2 linked regions of the Elephas maximus indicus genome follow. The protein of the gene in region 1 purifies or fractionates together with the protein of each later gene. This does not show direct contact. Links are inferred from orthologs where the notes say so. Each region holds a gene or a part of one and is shown in the gene's direction. Other genes may lie near its edges. The genes, in order: TDRD3 and FMR1.

Evidence for each region.
Region 2: the proteins of TDRD3 (region 1) and FMR1 purify together in Homo sapiens (affinity purification with mass spectrometry; 4 studies listed by BioGRID and IntAct, with this or other methods). This does not show direct contact. The link is inferred for Elephas maximus indicus from reciprocal best matches to the Homo sapiens genes TDRD3 and FMR1.

What each region holds. Positions count from the first base shown.
Region 1 is NC_064832.1:49,987,532-49,996,358, forward strand, and holds the start of TDRD3 (tudor domain-containing protein 3), read left to right. Parts: upstream 1-5,551; 5' UTR 5,552-5,587; coding exon 5,588-5,628; intron 5,629-8,827. UniProt on the Homo sapiens protein: Scaffolding protein that specifically recognizes and binds dimethylarginine-containing proteins. Plays a role in the regulation of translation of target mRNAs by binding Arg/Gly-rich motifs (GAR) in dimethylarginine-containing proteins.
Region 2 is NC_064846.1:8,486,577-8,494,985, reverse strand, and holds the start of FMR1 (fragile X messenger ribonucleoprotein 1), read left to right. Parts: upstream 1-4,761; 5' UTR 4,762-5,011; coding exon 5,012-5,062; intron 5,063-8,409.

The sequences.
Region 1 (8,827 bases):
TGTTATGGATAATGATACTAAGAACATCCATGTACAAGTTTTTGTGTGGACGTATGTTTTCATTTCTCTTGGTTGTATACTGAGGAGCGGAGTTGCTGGGTCATATGGAAACTCTACATTTAACCTTTTGAGGCTTGGCCAAGTTGTTTTCATGGTGGCTGCACTATTTTACATTCTCCCAACAATTCCAATTTCTCCACATCTTCACCAACACTTGCTATTGTGTTGCCATCCTAGTGGTTGTGAAATTGTATCTTTGGGTTATCTGACTTCTTCTTATTGAATTATAAGAGTTCTCCGTATGTTCTGGATACAAGATCCTTTTCTCTCCCATTCTATGGATTGACTTTTCACTTTCTTGATGGTATCCTCTGAAGCACAGAAATTTTAAATTTTGATAAATTCCAATTTATCTATTTTTTTTCTTAATGCTTTGGATGTTACAGAGTCCCTGCGTAGTGTAAATGGTTAAGCGCATGGGTACTAACCAAAAGGGTGGTTGGAATCCACCCAGAGGCACCTCAGAAGAAAGGCTTGGAGATCTACTTCCAAAAGATCACAGCCATTGGAAACCCTCCGGAGTGCAGCTCCACTCTGAAATACATTGGGTTGCCATCAATCGACTTGACAGCAATGAATTTTGTGTGTGTATGCGTTATATCTATGGTCTAACCCATGGTCATGAAGATATACTCCTGTAATTCCTTCTAGCTTTTTTATTTAGGTATGTGATCCATTTTGGGTTAATTTTTCATATGAAGAAGGAGTTCAAAGTTATTCTTTTGAATAGAGACTGAGATGTTTCCATCATTCATTGAAAAGATTCTTTTTTAAAACTGATTTTTTTTTTTTTTTTGCCAGTTTTCAGACTTCTAGCACATTTCCTGAAGAACTTAGCAGTTTTTCAAGGCTCCTGGGAAGTGGTTCATCTAAGTCCATCACAGGTTATTGCAGTATTCCCTATGATGTAACTAAGGAGCCCTGGTGGTGCAATGGTTAAATGCTCAGCTGCTAACCGAAAGGTTGGCAGTTTGAATCCACCAATGGCTCTGTGAGAGAAAAGACCTGGCGTCCTGCTCCCATAAAAATTACAGTCTTGGAAACCCCATGGGGTCATACATGGTCACTGTGAGTCCGAATTAACTTGGTGGCATACAACATGACGTAACTGGTTTAGGGTCAAAAGATTTCAAGTACATCAGAGGGGCTAGGCGCATTTATAATCTCATTTTTTATTCTGGTATCTTTTCCTACTTATCCACATTCTTTCCTTTTCAGTCTGAGAACATTTTCCTTCATTGATACGACAGAGGTAAAACAGAGGGTGAATGGATTCTCAATCTATCTTTTTTTCTGTTATTTTACATAATTCACTGAACAGATTTAACTCCTTTTTGTCTGCTTATACCTAACAAAGTTTTTGTCATCCTTAGGATTTCTTCCAACTTTCAGCTCATTGTGGACTTTCCATTATATGTGAATTAGTGATCTTACTAAAAATGGAAAACCATTTTTTTTTTCTGTCTAGCCAGCTATAATCATACTTCCTGGCAATAACTTATCTACAGAAAAACCAAACCAAATCCATTGCCGCTGAGTCGATTCCAAGTCATAGCAAACCTATACGACAGGGTGGAATTGCGCCATAGGGTTTCCTATGCTGTAAATCTTAAAGGACACAGACTGTCACATCTTCCTCCCGAGGAGCAGCTGGTGGGTTCAAACTGCTGACCTTTTGGTTAGCAGCCAAGTGCTTAACCACTGTACCACCAGGGGTTCCCTATCTATAGAACATAACTTCAATTTAAAAATTTAGGTGTGAAGGAAGTGAGTATAATCTATATTTTTTCTTTCTAGTCTGAAAAAATTAAACCCATAGAAAAGTTAAAAAAAAAAAATACAGTAGGTACCCGGGCCGTTAAATTACATTTACCCATTGTTAATATTTTGCCATGTTTACCTTCTTTCTCTCTTATTTTGTTATAGATATTATACATATTGTTTCATATTTTATGTATTATACGTATTATTTTATATATTTTAAATGTTATACATATACTGTATATGTATATATTTTATATATTATACATATATTATTTTTTGCTGAATCATTTGAAAACAAGTTGTACACACTACAACTCTTCAGCCGTGAATGCTTTGGCATAAATTCCCAAGATTAAAGACAATACTATTATCACATCTGAGAAAACCATTATTATACTAATTAGTATCCACTCTATCTTTAAATTTCTCTAATTGGTCCCAAAATACCTTTTTATATATATATATTTTTTCTTAGACCAGTATCCAATAAAGGCTAGCTTATTGCATTTTGTTTTTTAATTACAGTGGCTCTTTTGAAGAGTCCAGGCCACGTTTCTTGCAGAACATGGCACGTTTGGGATTTACGTCTCTCCATGTGTAATTCCTTCCAATATCCTTTATATGTCCCCTAAATTTGTGTTTGGGTCTAGAGCAGGGTTTAGATCTAGAGGTTGACCTTGGCATTACTGACATTTTGGGCCAGAAAATTCTTTGTTGGATGTTGCGGGTGGGGGCTTTTGTGCATTGTTGGATATTTAGCAATATCCCTAGTCTCTAACCACTGGATGCCAGTTGCCCCCGTCTTCCCCATCCTCAGGTTCTGGCAATCAAAAATGTCTCCAAATGCCCCCTGCGGAGAGGGGGCAGAATGGGACCTCTGATTGAGAACTGATGTTTAAAAGAAGCTTGCTTAAATTCAGGCTAAATCATTTTGGCAAGAGTATCTCTTAGATGTTATGGTCTTCTAATTCATTACATGAGGAAGCACATAAGATTTTTCCAGTATTAGTGATGCTAACTTTGGTCACTTGTTTCAGATAGGGTTTTTTTAAAGGTACATTTTCCCTTTTGTAATAAGTAATTTATGGCTTGATACTTTGAGACCATGTGAAGATCTGGTATTCCTACAATCTTTCACCCAGTGGCTCTTAGCCTCCATTGATGAACTTTGCTTGAATATATTATATCTGGAATGTAAAACATTAGTTGGTATTCTTCTGTAAACAAACACTTTCATTCCTTCCTCGCTTTTATTTATTCCAGTTGCGTTGTGAACGTATGCATTTTTTTAAATTCAATGTGTTACAATCAAATCTTCTAACTATTCTTTTTTAATTACCATACCGTCCCAAATTTCGCAGGTGGGAGCACTCGACCCATCCTTTAAAGCATTTCTTTAAGTAAGGGAAGTTAGTATTTTGAGGAGCATTTTGTTAAAATTATTATAAACACCATGTAAAGATGGTAAATTTCTATCGTATTATATTGCACAGGAGAGCAAATGTGTAAAAGCTTCACATTTAACCACTGAGTAATTCTGCTGACTGGAACAACATATTTTCACAGATAACAAGTTACACTAATTGCAAAATGTAAATAATTGTTAAGAGGAGATTCTCTCTGACCAACAATAAAAAGTAACCAGCAATTTGACTCATTTACCTTTAAAGGAGTTCCTGGGGGGCACAAACGGTTAAGCAGGCAACTAGTAGCCAAAACGCTGGCTGTTTGAACCCACCAGAAGTGCCCCAGAAGATGGTGATCTGCTTCTGAAAGATCACAGCCTTAAAAATCCCAAGGAGCAGTTCTACTCTGCACACATGGTGTCGCCATGAGTCGGAATCCACTTAACAGTAACTAACAAACAACAAACTCACGTTTCAAAATGGCAAATCTTGCTCCTGGATATGACTAGTGCCCAGAAATTGAAATATACTTATAAAAAAATTATACTTATAGCAAATGCATAATATAAACACTTTAAACTACTGCGAGTTGTAGAGAAGAGAATGGAGTTATTTGATTCTAAACGTGCTGACAAACACGTTTCCTTAAAATTAGTATCTAAGCAATGTTTGGAAACATTTATTAGCATTAGATCTACGCAAGATATCGTGTTTTTAGAACTACGATTTTTGGAGAAGCCCAACAGATATAAACCAAAAACCAAACCCACTGCCATCCAGTCAATTCTGACTCATCGTGACCCTAAAGACAGAGCAGAACCGCCTTACAGGGATTTCAGGGCTGTAAACTGCCACATTTTTCTCCCCCTGGCTGGTGGTTCCTACCGCTGACCTTTGGGTTAGCAGCCGCGCGCTTTAACCATTGCACCACTAGGGCTCCTTTCAAAAGGAATAAAACCGAAAGGAATAGCTCAGTTAAAACGAGAAAAATTTGAATTATGCAGTTTTCGCTCCACCCTCGCCATCATCCCCCTCCTTCTGTAACAGCCATTTTCCTCCCCAGCTCCAGGGAGAGGCTCTGCCCAGTTCCGCAGTCTCTGTCCAAGTTTGTGATGATGGCTTCAAATGAGGCAGCCTCTAATGACGCAGCAGTGGCGCGGGGCGGAGATAAAGTTTAAGTTCCTAACAGTCTCTCTCCAGGACTTGGCATTTTAATGGGGACAGCGCCATTAAAAAGCGCCTTTTTTCCCTGAGGCGCTGCAGCAGTGACAGACCGCGAGGGTGGGGCAAACTTTTAGGCGAGCGGGCCCGCGGCCCCTATCGCCTTCCCTGATTGGCTGGCGTGCGTCGCGGCTGCCCAATCGCGCAGAAGCGTCCTCGCGCTGCTCGGCGCAGCCGTCGCGCATGCTCGCTCGGGGACCCGCTCCTGCGCTTTCGCCCGTCTGAGCGCCCAAGAAGGGCACGGGCGAAGCGGGGTGGGAGTCGGAATTGACGATGTCCGTGCCACGGTCGTGGGGCCGCGCTGGGATGAGGACGGTCCCCGTGAGAGTGCGACAGGAAAGACAAACACTGACACAGCTGCCAAATTTCCCCTGTCCCCTACGTACATGTTTCCTTGGGGGTGACCAGTTTCATTGTGGTGTCCGGCCTGGACCCCCTGACCTGCTCGTGGAGAATCGAAAAACCCCGAGCTGGCATTATTTCCTATGCGTCCAGCAGGACGAAAAGCGGAGTGAATCGAGTCTTTAAACTTTTCTCCTATGCGGAGTAGGCTGGGAACACCTTTCCTATGAGTTTTACTGTGGGAAACGCGACCTTACTAGCCCGGTAGTGGCAGCGCTGCCCCCGCACCGACCTGTTCCTTTCAATTCCAGCGTTATCCTGCCCTCCCGGAGGGGACTCTCTGTCGGCGCTGGAAACATCAATGTTACTTTCCGCTGTACAAAGAGAACCTCAGTAGTTTCCAAGGCGTGCAACTCAGAAGAGTGGTAAAGAAAACCAGCCTCCGATAGAGGGGCAAAACCTTCCACGGTCCTTGGTGGGTGGCAAACTGGCCTCGGAGCCGCGCTCCCAGCACTTTTTCAGGCGTTCCCAGCCTCAGGCGCCCAGCAGCCTCCCCGGCCCCACTGCAGACCCGCCCCTGCGGCCGCTGAGAAAACGCGGCGAGCGGAACCCGCACGCGGAAGCGCCGGCCGCACTGAGCATGCCCAGTTGCAGAGCCGACCAGAGGAGTTTTTTTTTTTTTTCTTTCCCTTTTTTTTTTTTTTTTTATTTTTGGTCTCAAGCAGGAGCCCCCTCCCCCCACCCCGCACCCCCCCCAACCCAGCCCCCCACCACCCCTGGCCTAAGCAGCTACCATGGCCGAGGTTCCCGGCGCGGCGTTGTCCCAGGCGGGTTGGTAAGTGGCGAGTCCCGCCGGCCGCCAGGCCGCGGTCCCGGGCCGGGGCCCCGAGGAGGGTTGGGGTTGGGGGCGGTGGGTGCGTGTCGGGGTAGGCGGAGGCCGCCGCCCGCCCCCGGCCTGTCCCTGGGCACTGGGGCCGGCTCCGCCCCCGGCGCCACGCGGAGCCGGGCGAGTACCCTGGTTCCCCTCCGGGCCGCGGTGGCGGCGGCCTGGGCCCCGGGCGGCGGGCGACGGGCCGGGCTGGAGGCCGGGGGTCGCGGCCAGGCAGGGCGGCGACCCAGGGCCGAGCCAGCCGCCAGGAGGACCTGCCGCGCCGCCTCTCCGGGGTGTAGCTGTGGGGGAAGCAGGGAGGCGAGAGCTGGAGGGGAGACGTGCGGGGAGAGGGACCAGCGCGGCAGAGCCGCGGGCCCGCGGGAACTTGGGGAGACCAGGGTACCGCCGTGCTGCCGCCCGAGCCACCTCCTTTCTCCTGCTTATTTCAAAGTCCTGTGCAGACCAGTGTGGAGCTGCCCTCCGCGGCACACACACAACTTCTGAAGCTAAGAATAACTGCATTGTAAACTCGTATGGGTGCTCCGTAGAAGTTTTCTTGAAAAGACGTCGTTGTTCTGATTTTTAACGTTTCACGTCAAGATTTTAGCATCTGAAAGCAATAGAAAATTAAGCTAAATCAAGTAGTTTCTGGAACTGCGGCCATTACCGCTGTAAACATGCGGTTTAATTCAGTAGCGCTTTTCCAAGGCCTGAATGGGCACAGTGGGGGCTGAGCGGTAGGAACCAGGATGAAGGAGATTTGTCCCTGTTCTCTGGAAGTTCACAACCTTAATAAGAAGATGAAAGAGGGAGGCGTTAAAAAGACAAACACCAAAATAGGGGGAATAGTTGGAAGCTGTTCTGAGGAGCAGGCAAGTGTGCTGTGGAATTACAGGGCAGGGAGAGTTAATTTCCTAGAGAAGTGGGTTTTGGAAGATGGTGAGGAAAAGGCTTTCTAGAGCTGAGTTCAAGGAGATAAGGCACAGAGGTAGGGAAAGTGCTTATTGGTCTGTGGAACAGATGCTAGCTAGATCCAGTAGGAGACTGTCCGATAAAGATTAAGACCAGAAAAGGTAGGTTGGGACCAGATTATGGAGGTTACGAATGCCTAAAAGATGTGGACTTGATTTCGTGAATAAAGTTTTTCATCAGTGGAGTGAAATAATCACACCTGTATTTGAAGAGCAAAATTAGAGCAGCTCCCAGATCTACGGGCACTGCTGTTGACTCCATTTTACAGGTGAGGAGACTGAGGCAAAGAGATGTTAAGTAACTTGTCCAGAATGACATAGCTAGAAACTGGTAGTTGAGTGCTGAGTGCAGGGTCCTGGTTCCAGGCCCGTTGCTTTTAACTGTTATGTATTATTGCTCTGCGGTTTTTGGGTAGAACATCATGGCATAACAAATTCTAGCATTAAAAACTCACATTCAATTTTTTGTTCTCTACCTGCAGTTTCTTTAGCTCACTAGGCTGTTTCGAATTATCTTGGCTCATTGTTTTATTTTAGTTTTTCCACATTCTTCATTGTTTTGATCCTTAGTTCTTCAAGCTAGTCATATGATTTCATTTGCAAGCTCAGTCTTGCCTCCTAGTGAAAGGCTCACTACACGGGTTTCAGGTACAGACTAGATTTGCTTTTGGATTCTAAGCTTCTTAAGGGCAGGGAACTGTATTTCATTTTTCTTTATATCTGTAGTTACAGGGATCAAGTTACATTGTAGATTCTCAGTGCTGTCTCATATAGTTGACCTTGGAATGCCCCTGCCATTTTTACTTCCCCAGCCAGGACCTCTTACCCAGGTTTAAAGAGAGTCGTTATCTGCTTTATTATATTTTATATTGCCAGCGGTGCTATATTGTAGCATTTGACAGTGTGCATTCTAAGTCGTTTGTTTACATGTTTCTTTCTTCCACCAGGCTGCTGCTTCCACAAGCAGGGACTCCGAGGCAGGAGTAATCTCTAGGGCTAATAAGGGCTTTTTAGCAATTTGAGTTTCATGTAATTTCTGATGGGTCTTGAGCAGACGAGTGCCAAAGACTTGAGGATCTCCTGTGCTGGCAGGTGGCATGTGCCAGATTTTATCTTAAGTAGAGACTTGTTATGTTAAAATATAGAACCTCAGGGTTTAGGCAGAGAGAACTACTGGAAGGAGAATTTTTGACAGGAGAGCAGCTCTTGACCAACTCATTCCGGTCTAACATCTCAGGTTTCCCCTTACTTTTGGGGTTTTTTATTATTGTCACTGACAAAGCCATTTTTCTTAGGACTCAGGTTTTCTTTGTACTTAATTATGCTTAAGTGCTCTGTCACTAGGTGAACGGTTGGAGAGCTGCCTAGGAAGACAGGCCTGGTGACCTGCTTCTGAAAGGTCACAGCCTTGAAAACCCTACAGAGCAGTTGTGTTCTGCACACATGGGGTCACCGTGAATTGCAATCCACTCCATGGCAACTAGCAACAAAGAACAATTACTTGTAGGACCTGTAAAGAAATAGAGGTGAACGCTCCTAAACTATAATAAAATCTGTTCCAACAGCTTCACCTAAAATGGTAGATTAGTAGAATATTTAGTGCTGAAAAGCTTATGTTTCTGAAAATGAGATCTTCAAGGGGTACGTACAGATGGTCTATATAGATGAGTGCATCATTCAGGTTTACATTATTCCTTGAGTACTGCTTTCTGTCTTTAAAAAAAAAAACTACAACAATCAGTATTTTAAAGGCAGCCACCCTACAAACTGTACAGTAATTTTTTTTTTTTTTTTTTAGTGGCCAGTACCACACAAAACATTTGGTTTTGGTGATTTGAACATTTAAACTTTCGGGAGCTCTTACAGTATAGTGGAAATGCTTAAATAATGCACTAAACGGTACCTTAGTTGTTTGTAATACTCAATTATATGCATGGAATAGCTTCACGGATTGATTTGACTCTAAATTTGCTTAGATTGCAATATTTTTTGTTTTCTGTCTTTGGAGATTCATTCCCCTTCAGGGGAATTGTATATTTCTACTAACAGGGATCAGGGCTTTTAAGCTTTTGATTTTTTTTTTTTTTTCTTTAAACAGAATCATGTTAGGGGACTCAAGCAGCTGTGTTTGTATTTTTGCAAAGGCGTTTTCCATAGAATTATTGATTGTTTTGTTTACTTCCCTTGTTGTG
Region 2 (8,409 bases), on another chromosome or scaffold:
AGTGGTGGTCAGGGGTTCAGGGAAACGAGGGAAGGATGATAGGTGAAGCACACAGGACTTTCAGGGCAGTGAAAGTGTTCTGTATGATACTAGATACATGACATTATGCATTTTTCAAAACTCTTAAAACTGTACAACACAAAGCGTGAGCCCTCATGTAAACTATGGACTTTAGCAATCATATATCAATATCAGTTTAGCAATAATAACGAACGTGCCACAGGAATGCAAGATGTTAATAACGGGAAACTGTGGGTGTGTGGGGGGGGGTGTGGGAGTATATGGGAATTCTCTGTACCATCTGCTCAATTTTTCTCTAAATCTAAAACTGTTCTAAAAATAAATCTATTAATGAATATTTTTTCCTAATATCTAGTTCAAAGGAGAGGTGAAGATGAGGCAAAATTGTCAGAACAGTGTCAGTAAAGAGGTGAGACTTTCGAAGGGCCCTGAAGGGTACATAGTCCTTCTAGAGTTGGAAAGGGCAGAGGGCATTTCCCTCTGGGATTACAGCAGGAACAAAGACTCCATGGCTTGAATTGCGAAGAAGCAGGAAATAAAACAGAATAAATCAATGCAAAGACAACTAGCAGCAATTTCATGAAAGCTAGGGGCTGAGGCAGAGCCAGAAAAGCTGAAGCATCATTCCAGTATTGAATAAATATAGCCATGGGAGCCGACCCGGCCCAAACCGGTCTGCAACACTCATTCATTCATTCATGCACTCAGTAAATATCTAATATGCACTACTACTGTTCCAGACACCATACTAGGCACTGGGGATGCAGCAGTGAAGAAAACACTGTTTTAACGGAGCTTACATTCTAGTGAGGGGAGACAGACAGGGCCTACTTGGTGTATTCAAGAAACAGCTGGAATGGGGGGGGGTATGGAATGGAAGGGTAGAGGGTGCCATAGAGGAAATAACAGAGGTCAGAAGATGTAGAGAACAGAGGCCAGAGTAAATAAGAACTTTGCCTTTTACTCTGAGAGATTTAGGGATCATTGGAGGGTTTTTTGCCTTTTACTCTGAGCCATTTAGGGATCACTGGAGGGCTTTGAGTGCCAGAGTGACTTGATGGACACTTGGACAGGGTCACTCTGTCTTCTGTGTTGAGAATAGAGAGACGAGGACAAGAGGAGCTGCAGGGAGACCAGTGAGGAGGTTATTGCAGTAACCCAGGTGAGAGAGATGGGGCTCGGACCAGGGTTTTAGCAGCACAAGTGGTAGGAAGTAGGTTCTGGACTCTGAAAAGATTTGCTGATGGATTTGTAGCTGCAGAGTGTGAGAAAGAGTCCAAAAGGACTCCTTTTTAAGCCTGAGCTACTCACTGGAAGGAGGGGGTTGCCATTAACTGTGTAAGGGGAGAATATGGGAGGAGCAGACTCTGAGGCAGGGCTGAATTCACTTGGGCTATCTTGAAAGAAACTGGTTTTTATCCTGAAAGGGGAAATTTCAAGAGTTAGAGATCAGAGTGAGGCTGAGACACAGAGGCAAGTGGGCAAGGCTAAGTCACAGTACATTTAGGTATAAGCATTCACTCATTCATTGAATATTTATTGGAACCAACCACTTTTAATGTGCCAGAGACACAAAGATAAATAAGACATCTTTCCTGTCCTGAAGAAACTCACAGTCCATTGAGAGAAACAGAAATATAAATAAGCAATTCCAGTACATTTCACCATCACAGTTGAGCTATTCAACATTTCCTGAGTCCCTGCTCTATGCCAAGCAGTGTGAAGAGGAAGCAGGCAGTTTGTACAAAGTTCTACAAGAGTACACAAGAAACTGCCTCCAAAGATTTGTGAAGGTATTCACAAGAGTTCATCACAGTGTGGCACTGGGGAGTTGGCAGCAACCTAAATGCCCGTCACCAGGGAAATGTGTAAGTAAAATCTATGGAATACTCAGCAGCAGGTAGAAGCAACAACCTAGGGGTACACCCAGCAATGTGGAGACAGCTCAAAAACATAGTGTTGAGTGAGAAAAGTGGGAACCAGAGATTTACAGTCCAATAACATTTCTGTAAGTGTAAAGGCATACAGAAAATACTGCGCATCTTAAATTATCAAGTATCATAGCAAACAAATTGCAATGGGTGCCTAGAAGAATGAGAGTGGGGATTGAGGGAGATGAGAAAAAGTAATATAAATAATATAAACACTATAAAATACCTTAAACATGAGAAGGGCCTTGAAGGGACTCATGATGACAATGTGCTGAGAATTGAGGTGCAAAGCAACTTCACTCTCTGCACCTGAGGTAAAATAACTAGCTCACAGAAATCCAGCTAACAGTGCTAAGGGATAGTGCTAAGGGTAAGTATTGCTGGGGGACAGGAAGCATGTGGCTCGAGCAGTAAAGGTGGTTGTGGAGGGCTGATATCTTGAAAGCACTGGGTAACTTGAGCAACACTCTACACATGGAAGGTATAATTATTCTAATCTACTCTGATCCAGTCCAGCCTATGGCGAGAATCTCTATTGGAGTCTTCCCATCTTGTGACTCCTCCAGAGACTCTTCTAGTCCAAGGGGTCATTCCGGTTTACTATGGCCTCAAGGAGTGTGGCCTCTGAGCTGCTGCCTTAGAGCTAGGACTGCACCAGCTCTGATGCTGCTGCTCTGGCTGGGGGTGGGGTGGGAAGGGAACGGGGCCTCAATGATGCCTCTCATTCTGGGGCATCTGTCTGGGGCAGTTCATGCTACTTCCCCCAACTCAGTGCTGCCCATCTGTCAGTTAACTCTGGCCCCTCACATTCCAGCTTGAGTCATTTCCCCTTCGCCAAACACACCTTCCTCTCCCCACACTAGGTCATGTCTCATCATTATTATAGGTGCACTTATTTGATGGCAATGGGTTTGGCTTTTTTGGTTTGGTTATTCTTCATAGCCCTTATCACAGCTGCAACTCTACATTTACTTTTCCGATAATTTATGCCCATCAACGGTAATGTGCTTGACTGATAACCAAAAGGTTGGTGGTTCAAACCCATCCAGAGGTGCCATGGAAGAACCCAAACCAAAACCCACTGCTGTCAAGTCGATTCTGACTCATAGCAACCCTGTAGGACAGAGTAGAACTACTATGGGGTTTCCAAGGAGCGGCTGGTGGATTCCAACTGCCGACCTTTTGGTTAGCAGCCAAGCTCTTAACTACTGTACTACCAGGGCTTCCCATGGAAGGCCTGGAAACTTGCTTCCAAAAGATCACAGCCTTGAAAACTCTATAGAACAGTTCTACTCTGCAAAACATGGGGCTGCCATGAGTTGGAGTCAACTCAATGGTAACTGGTTTGGTTTTTGGTTTTTAGGACTGTAGGTTTCAAGTTCGATGTTGGCCGTTTTGCTTTTGTTTGTTTTTGCTCACTCATGTATTGCCAGCACATGAGTTATTGTTGTTAGGTGCCCTCCAGTCAATTTCGACTTATAGCACCCCATGTGACCAAGCAGACCTGTCCCACAGGGTTTTGACTATAATCTTTACGGGAACAGATCATCAGTTCTTTCTCCTGAAGAGCCGATCCACCAAGTGGGTTTGAGCTGCCGACCTTTTGGGTAGCCCTAGTGCTTAACATTCAACCACCAGAGCTTCCTTGGCACATGGTAAACAAAAAATCAAACCCGTTGAGGTAGAGTTGATTCCGACTCATAGCGACCCTATAGGTGCAGTTGGGCTGCTAATCAAAAGGTCATCAGTTCAAATCCGCCAACCCACCTTGGAAACTCTATGGGGCAGTTCTACTCTGTCTTAGACGGTCGCTACGAGCTTTGGCACATGGTAGGCACTCAATAAACTTTTCAGTTGAATACAAGCACCCCAGACAAGGGGAACACAGGCCCAGGAGGATACAGCATGGTGCAGAGGCAGAGATGAGAAAGATTTGGGTTTTGTTTACCATAGAGAGTAAAGTGAGTTGCAAGGAAATGGGTCGTGCAAGGCCCCTGTAGGCAGATCGCCTGTCTGCTACGCACATGCCCACCTACCCTCTTGGTACAGGGTGGCACACAGTAGGGGCAGATATGAGCTGTAGAGAAATGAACAAGTGCTTAACTTTTTTTTATACTTATGTCAAGTAAAAGTATGAAACTGAATTGACCGAAAGGGAACATGTGGGTTAGTCTCGGGTCTGAGGGAAAGCTAAAATTTCCAGAGATGCCAACACAATCCATTGCCCCTCAAGGGACTTGGGATGTATCTCCTACTCTGCCTAGAATGTCATGGTGTGGGTGGGCGCTCTTCTCCCTGTCTGCCTCTAAGGGTCACATTAGCCTGGATGAACTGGTTGTTACTGTTACTAAAGTCTCCTCCAATCTAATTCACCTTTATCCTTGTCTCCCACTCCACCTCCAGCTCAATAAGCCTTTGCTCCGCTTTAAAAAAACAACAACAACAAAAAAAATAAACCACCACCTCCCACCCTGAGCAGCCTGGCCTCAGATGACTGAATGCAGGCGATCGCTACGGGAGGCCCTTTCCCACGCCTCCTCTCACCCTCTCCAGTGACAGGCTCCCTGGTCATCGCTGGGCTTTGCGAAGCGACGCGACCCGTCACTGCCCTTCCCGCCTTCCCGCGCTGGGCCATCCCCCGCACACGCCGAGCCCGCGCGCCCGTCGTCGGGCCTGGCGCCCCAGCCGGTTCCCCACAGCGCGCATGCGCGCGCTCCAGAGGCCGCGGGGAAGGGAAGGGCGGGGCCGAGGGGCCGAGCCGGCGGGGGGAGGGGCGGCGCGGGTCACGTGACGCGGCTTCAGTGTTTACACGCGGAGCGGCCCGGCGTTCAGCGTTCGGCCTCAGTCAGGCGCTCCGCTCCGTTTCGGTTTCACTTCCGGTGAGGGGCCGCCTTGGAGCGGGCAGCGAGCCGACGGCGAGCGCAGGCGGTGGCGGTGACGGCGGCGCCGCTGCCGGGGGGCGTGCGGGAGCGCGGCGGCGGCGGCGGCGGCTGGGCCTCGAGCGCCTGCAGCCCACCTCCCGGGGGCGGGCTCCCGGCGCGAGCAGGGGCGACGAGAAGATGGAGGAGCTGGTGGTGGAGGTGCGAGGCTCCAATGGCGCTTTCTACAAGGTACTCGGCTCTGGGCAGGCCCCATCTCTTCCCTTCCTTCCCTCGCTTTTCTTCGCGGCCTCGGCGGGAGGCAGGCCTGGGGCCGGGCCGGCGCGCTCGGCTGGAGGTGTGGGGAAGGACGGGCGCCGGGCCTTCGGGAAGCCCCCCGAGCCTTCGAGAGCCCCCGGCGCCCGTGGGGAGGAGACACGGGCGAGGAGAAGGGGCGCCCACCCCGGCCAAGCCCCGGCGCGGCAGGCTGGGGATGGGCGAGGGCGGCGGCAGGTAGAGCCAGGCGGGAAGGGCCGGAATCGGCGCGCGGGGACGGCGACAGCCGCTTCCTCCGTCCCCTTGCTCCGTCGCCCAGCTCCCCGCCCGTGGGCTCCGGCCTGACGTGGGGGAGCTGCGGAGGAGCGGGGGGCGCCTTCGGCGGGCCGCCGCCTGTCCGGCCCAGAGGTTTTCAGGTCCCCTTTGGCGTCGCCTTCTGGTCCAGGATTGGGACTTCGAAGAGCGCCGCTGTTCTGGGCGAGGTGTGAAGACAGAGTAGTAAGAAGTGGTCGTCAGTCCCAAATCACGGTGGTAACTGGGTTTACTGCTCTCTCTCTTTGTGCATTTTTACAAGAGCCTCCAAAGTTCCAGAAAGAGCCTAACATATCTGGGCAATCGGTGCATTAAAGAAGTTGGTAATTCTTCTCCTTCGGCCCCCCTCCCTTTTTTTAACGTGGGTAAATTCTGGAATACAGCATCTAAAAAACATTAGCAACTCTACTACTCACTTTAAAATTTTTTTTCGTTTTTTTTAAACTCCCCAAAGACCTGAATATATGCCTCATGAAACTTGAGAAAATTAATTGGGACTGTCTTATTACTGAGGAATTTTAAGAACGGAGTGTTTGGAAATGTTTGCTTTGTGCTCTAAGTATAGGTATTTGCCTCTCTTCTCTTTGGATGTGTAATGTTGCAGAGGACTGTGTTGTAGGGGTTTTGAATAGGCATTAATAGTCCTACTGTGGGTTTTTATTTTTGAAGTTACATCATTGCACATCAACAAATATCTTACATTTGAGAAAAACAGAATTAAAAGCAATGTTTTGGTGGATCAGTAGGGGGTTTGTTAGTTCATATTTACTACAGTAATCTATGAATTTTTGTTTCCTCTTCAATGTCTGTATAACTTCTGTAAGTAAGATCCCACCTTACTAGAGTATTTTGTCAACAGAAGGTGCACATGGAAGGAAGCATGGAAAATAGCTATGGCCATTGTCCAACACAATTGTTAAAGTATTACGGAGTAACTAACGTTTCAAAGGGACATGTTTGGCTATAAGAAAAGCAATCATTGACTCAACTACTTAACAGACTATAAGCTTACCAATTTTATCGCAACATTTGGGGATGAGTATGTTTCATAAAAGACTAAAGAATGTAAATTGTTCCACTAAGAATGATAAAACCTTTTGCTGTACAAGGAAGTGAAAATTAACTCAGCATTTTTTATTCTTCACCGTCTCACCAATATAAAATTGTTAACAGTTGATTCTGCAGTCAAAATTGTGGATGCATTTATTTCAGCAATTCATAATTTCTAATGGTTTGTGTAGAATAGTTCTGGTTCTTAGATTTGTAGTTTTAGTCACTATTTTTGTGGATCTAACTATAGTATACATGACCAGGTACTAATGGTTGAGCAGTATTTTAACTGATTTTTTTTTTTTTTATAATATCAGCTTATATTGGACACCACCCTTATGTCTTTTAGGAGAGTTTGCTTGCCATAGAGGGCAAGTAGCACATCCTGGTCTTGAAGGATTTATTGTTCTTTTCCAGCAACACATGATTTGCTCCAGTGATTTTGCTTGCAAACCGATAGGAATATAAGAAATGCCCCCTATCATTGCCATTAAGCTCCCTTTTTGTTTTTGTTTTTTAACCAAGTGGCTTAATTTGAAGGTGACTTAAAAAAAAAAAAAAGAACCAATTGTTCCTTAGCTCTTTGAGAGGAGAAGAGAAGTTGCTGTTATGTTTATTTAATTAAGGTTTCTTTTTAAGAAAATCTCAACTGATCTGTATTGGTGAAAAAAGAGTTTCTGTAATGAAAAAAGTTTAGCTGTTTATTTAGCTCATAATATTGCTGTGAGTTATAAAAGAGCAACAAAGTAAACTGAATTGCTTGTCGTTAATGTCTGGTGGGATGGACATGAAAAATAGGAAATAAGACCAATCAAAAATGAACTGCTGTAGAGAAATATGTTGCATTTATTAAAAAAAAGGAACCTTGTTCATTGAATTGATAAAAAAAAAAAACTAAACAAATGAAATAACTTCTTTATAATTGAACACAGACTTTGATTTGCCTAACAGAGCCACCATATTGCAAAGTACAGTTCTCCATCTTCTGAGCACATGCTCCAAGTTTGCAAATAAAAACTCAGTACTGAGTATATGCTGGTAACAGTTTTATTCTTTCTCTAGAACATAGCTGAAGCTCAGGATTTAGAATTAACCATGAACCCTAAACCCTAAGATTGCAATAGTTCACTTCTACTTTTCCTCTCATGTTTATTCTTAAAAATTTGAAAGTTAGATTAGTAATTATCAGAGCCACTGTTTTTATTGCTTAGATATTTCTTTCACATTGAGTCAGTTACATGTACCACTTATAGAACCTTGCGTTATTTTAAGACGTGAAACACTTTGAATTATAACTCACAAAATCTTTATAAAGCATTTTCTAAATGAATAATGTTGAAATAAGGTCTTTATTCTAGGGACATCTGCCCAAAATAGTGTAGTTTTCTTTGGACTGAGTGTTTCGATGTGTTGAGAATGGTAATGAATTAGCTCCATTTTAGAGGTAGAATGTGCTTCACTCCAGTAGGAATGCACTGACATATCTTCAGATTCCTACGTGTGTGTACTAGTATGAAAATTACTAAAGATGGAGAAATTGTGTCTTGGAAACAAAGATGCAAAACCTTTTAGTTTTCTGCAAATGTAGTGACTGTTAACCTAATTCCTTGTAATCTGGTGAAATTATACTTGCTTGTGTTTTTATGGTTATATTAACACTTTAATATATCTTATATTTTTACGTTTGTTATCTGAGGAGAGAGACTTTTCATTTGGTAAGTATTATTACAGTAGCTAGCAGCTAAATATGATAAAATGAACAACCGAAAAAATTTTAAAATAAGACATTAGTGGTCTAAAATGTCATTTTAGCTACATAGCCTACTAGAAGTCACTGTTTTACTATAAATAAACACGCATAAGGGACTACTCGCGTTTTCTCTGAAGTCTCCAGAGCTGACTTTGCATATAGGTGTTATTCTGTACTTCAAGGAAGTCACTTACTCAGTCAACTGCATTTT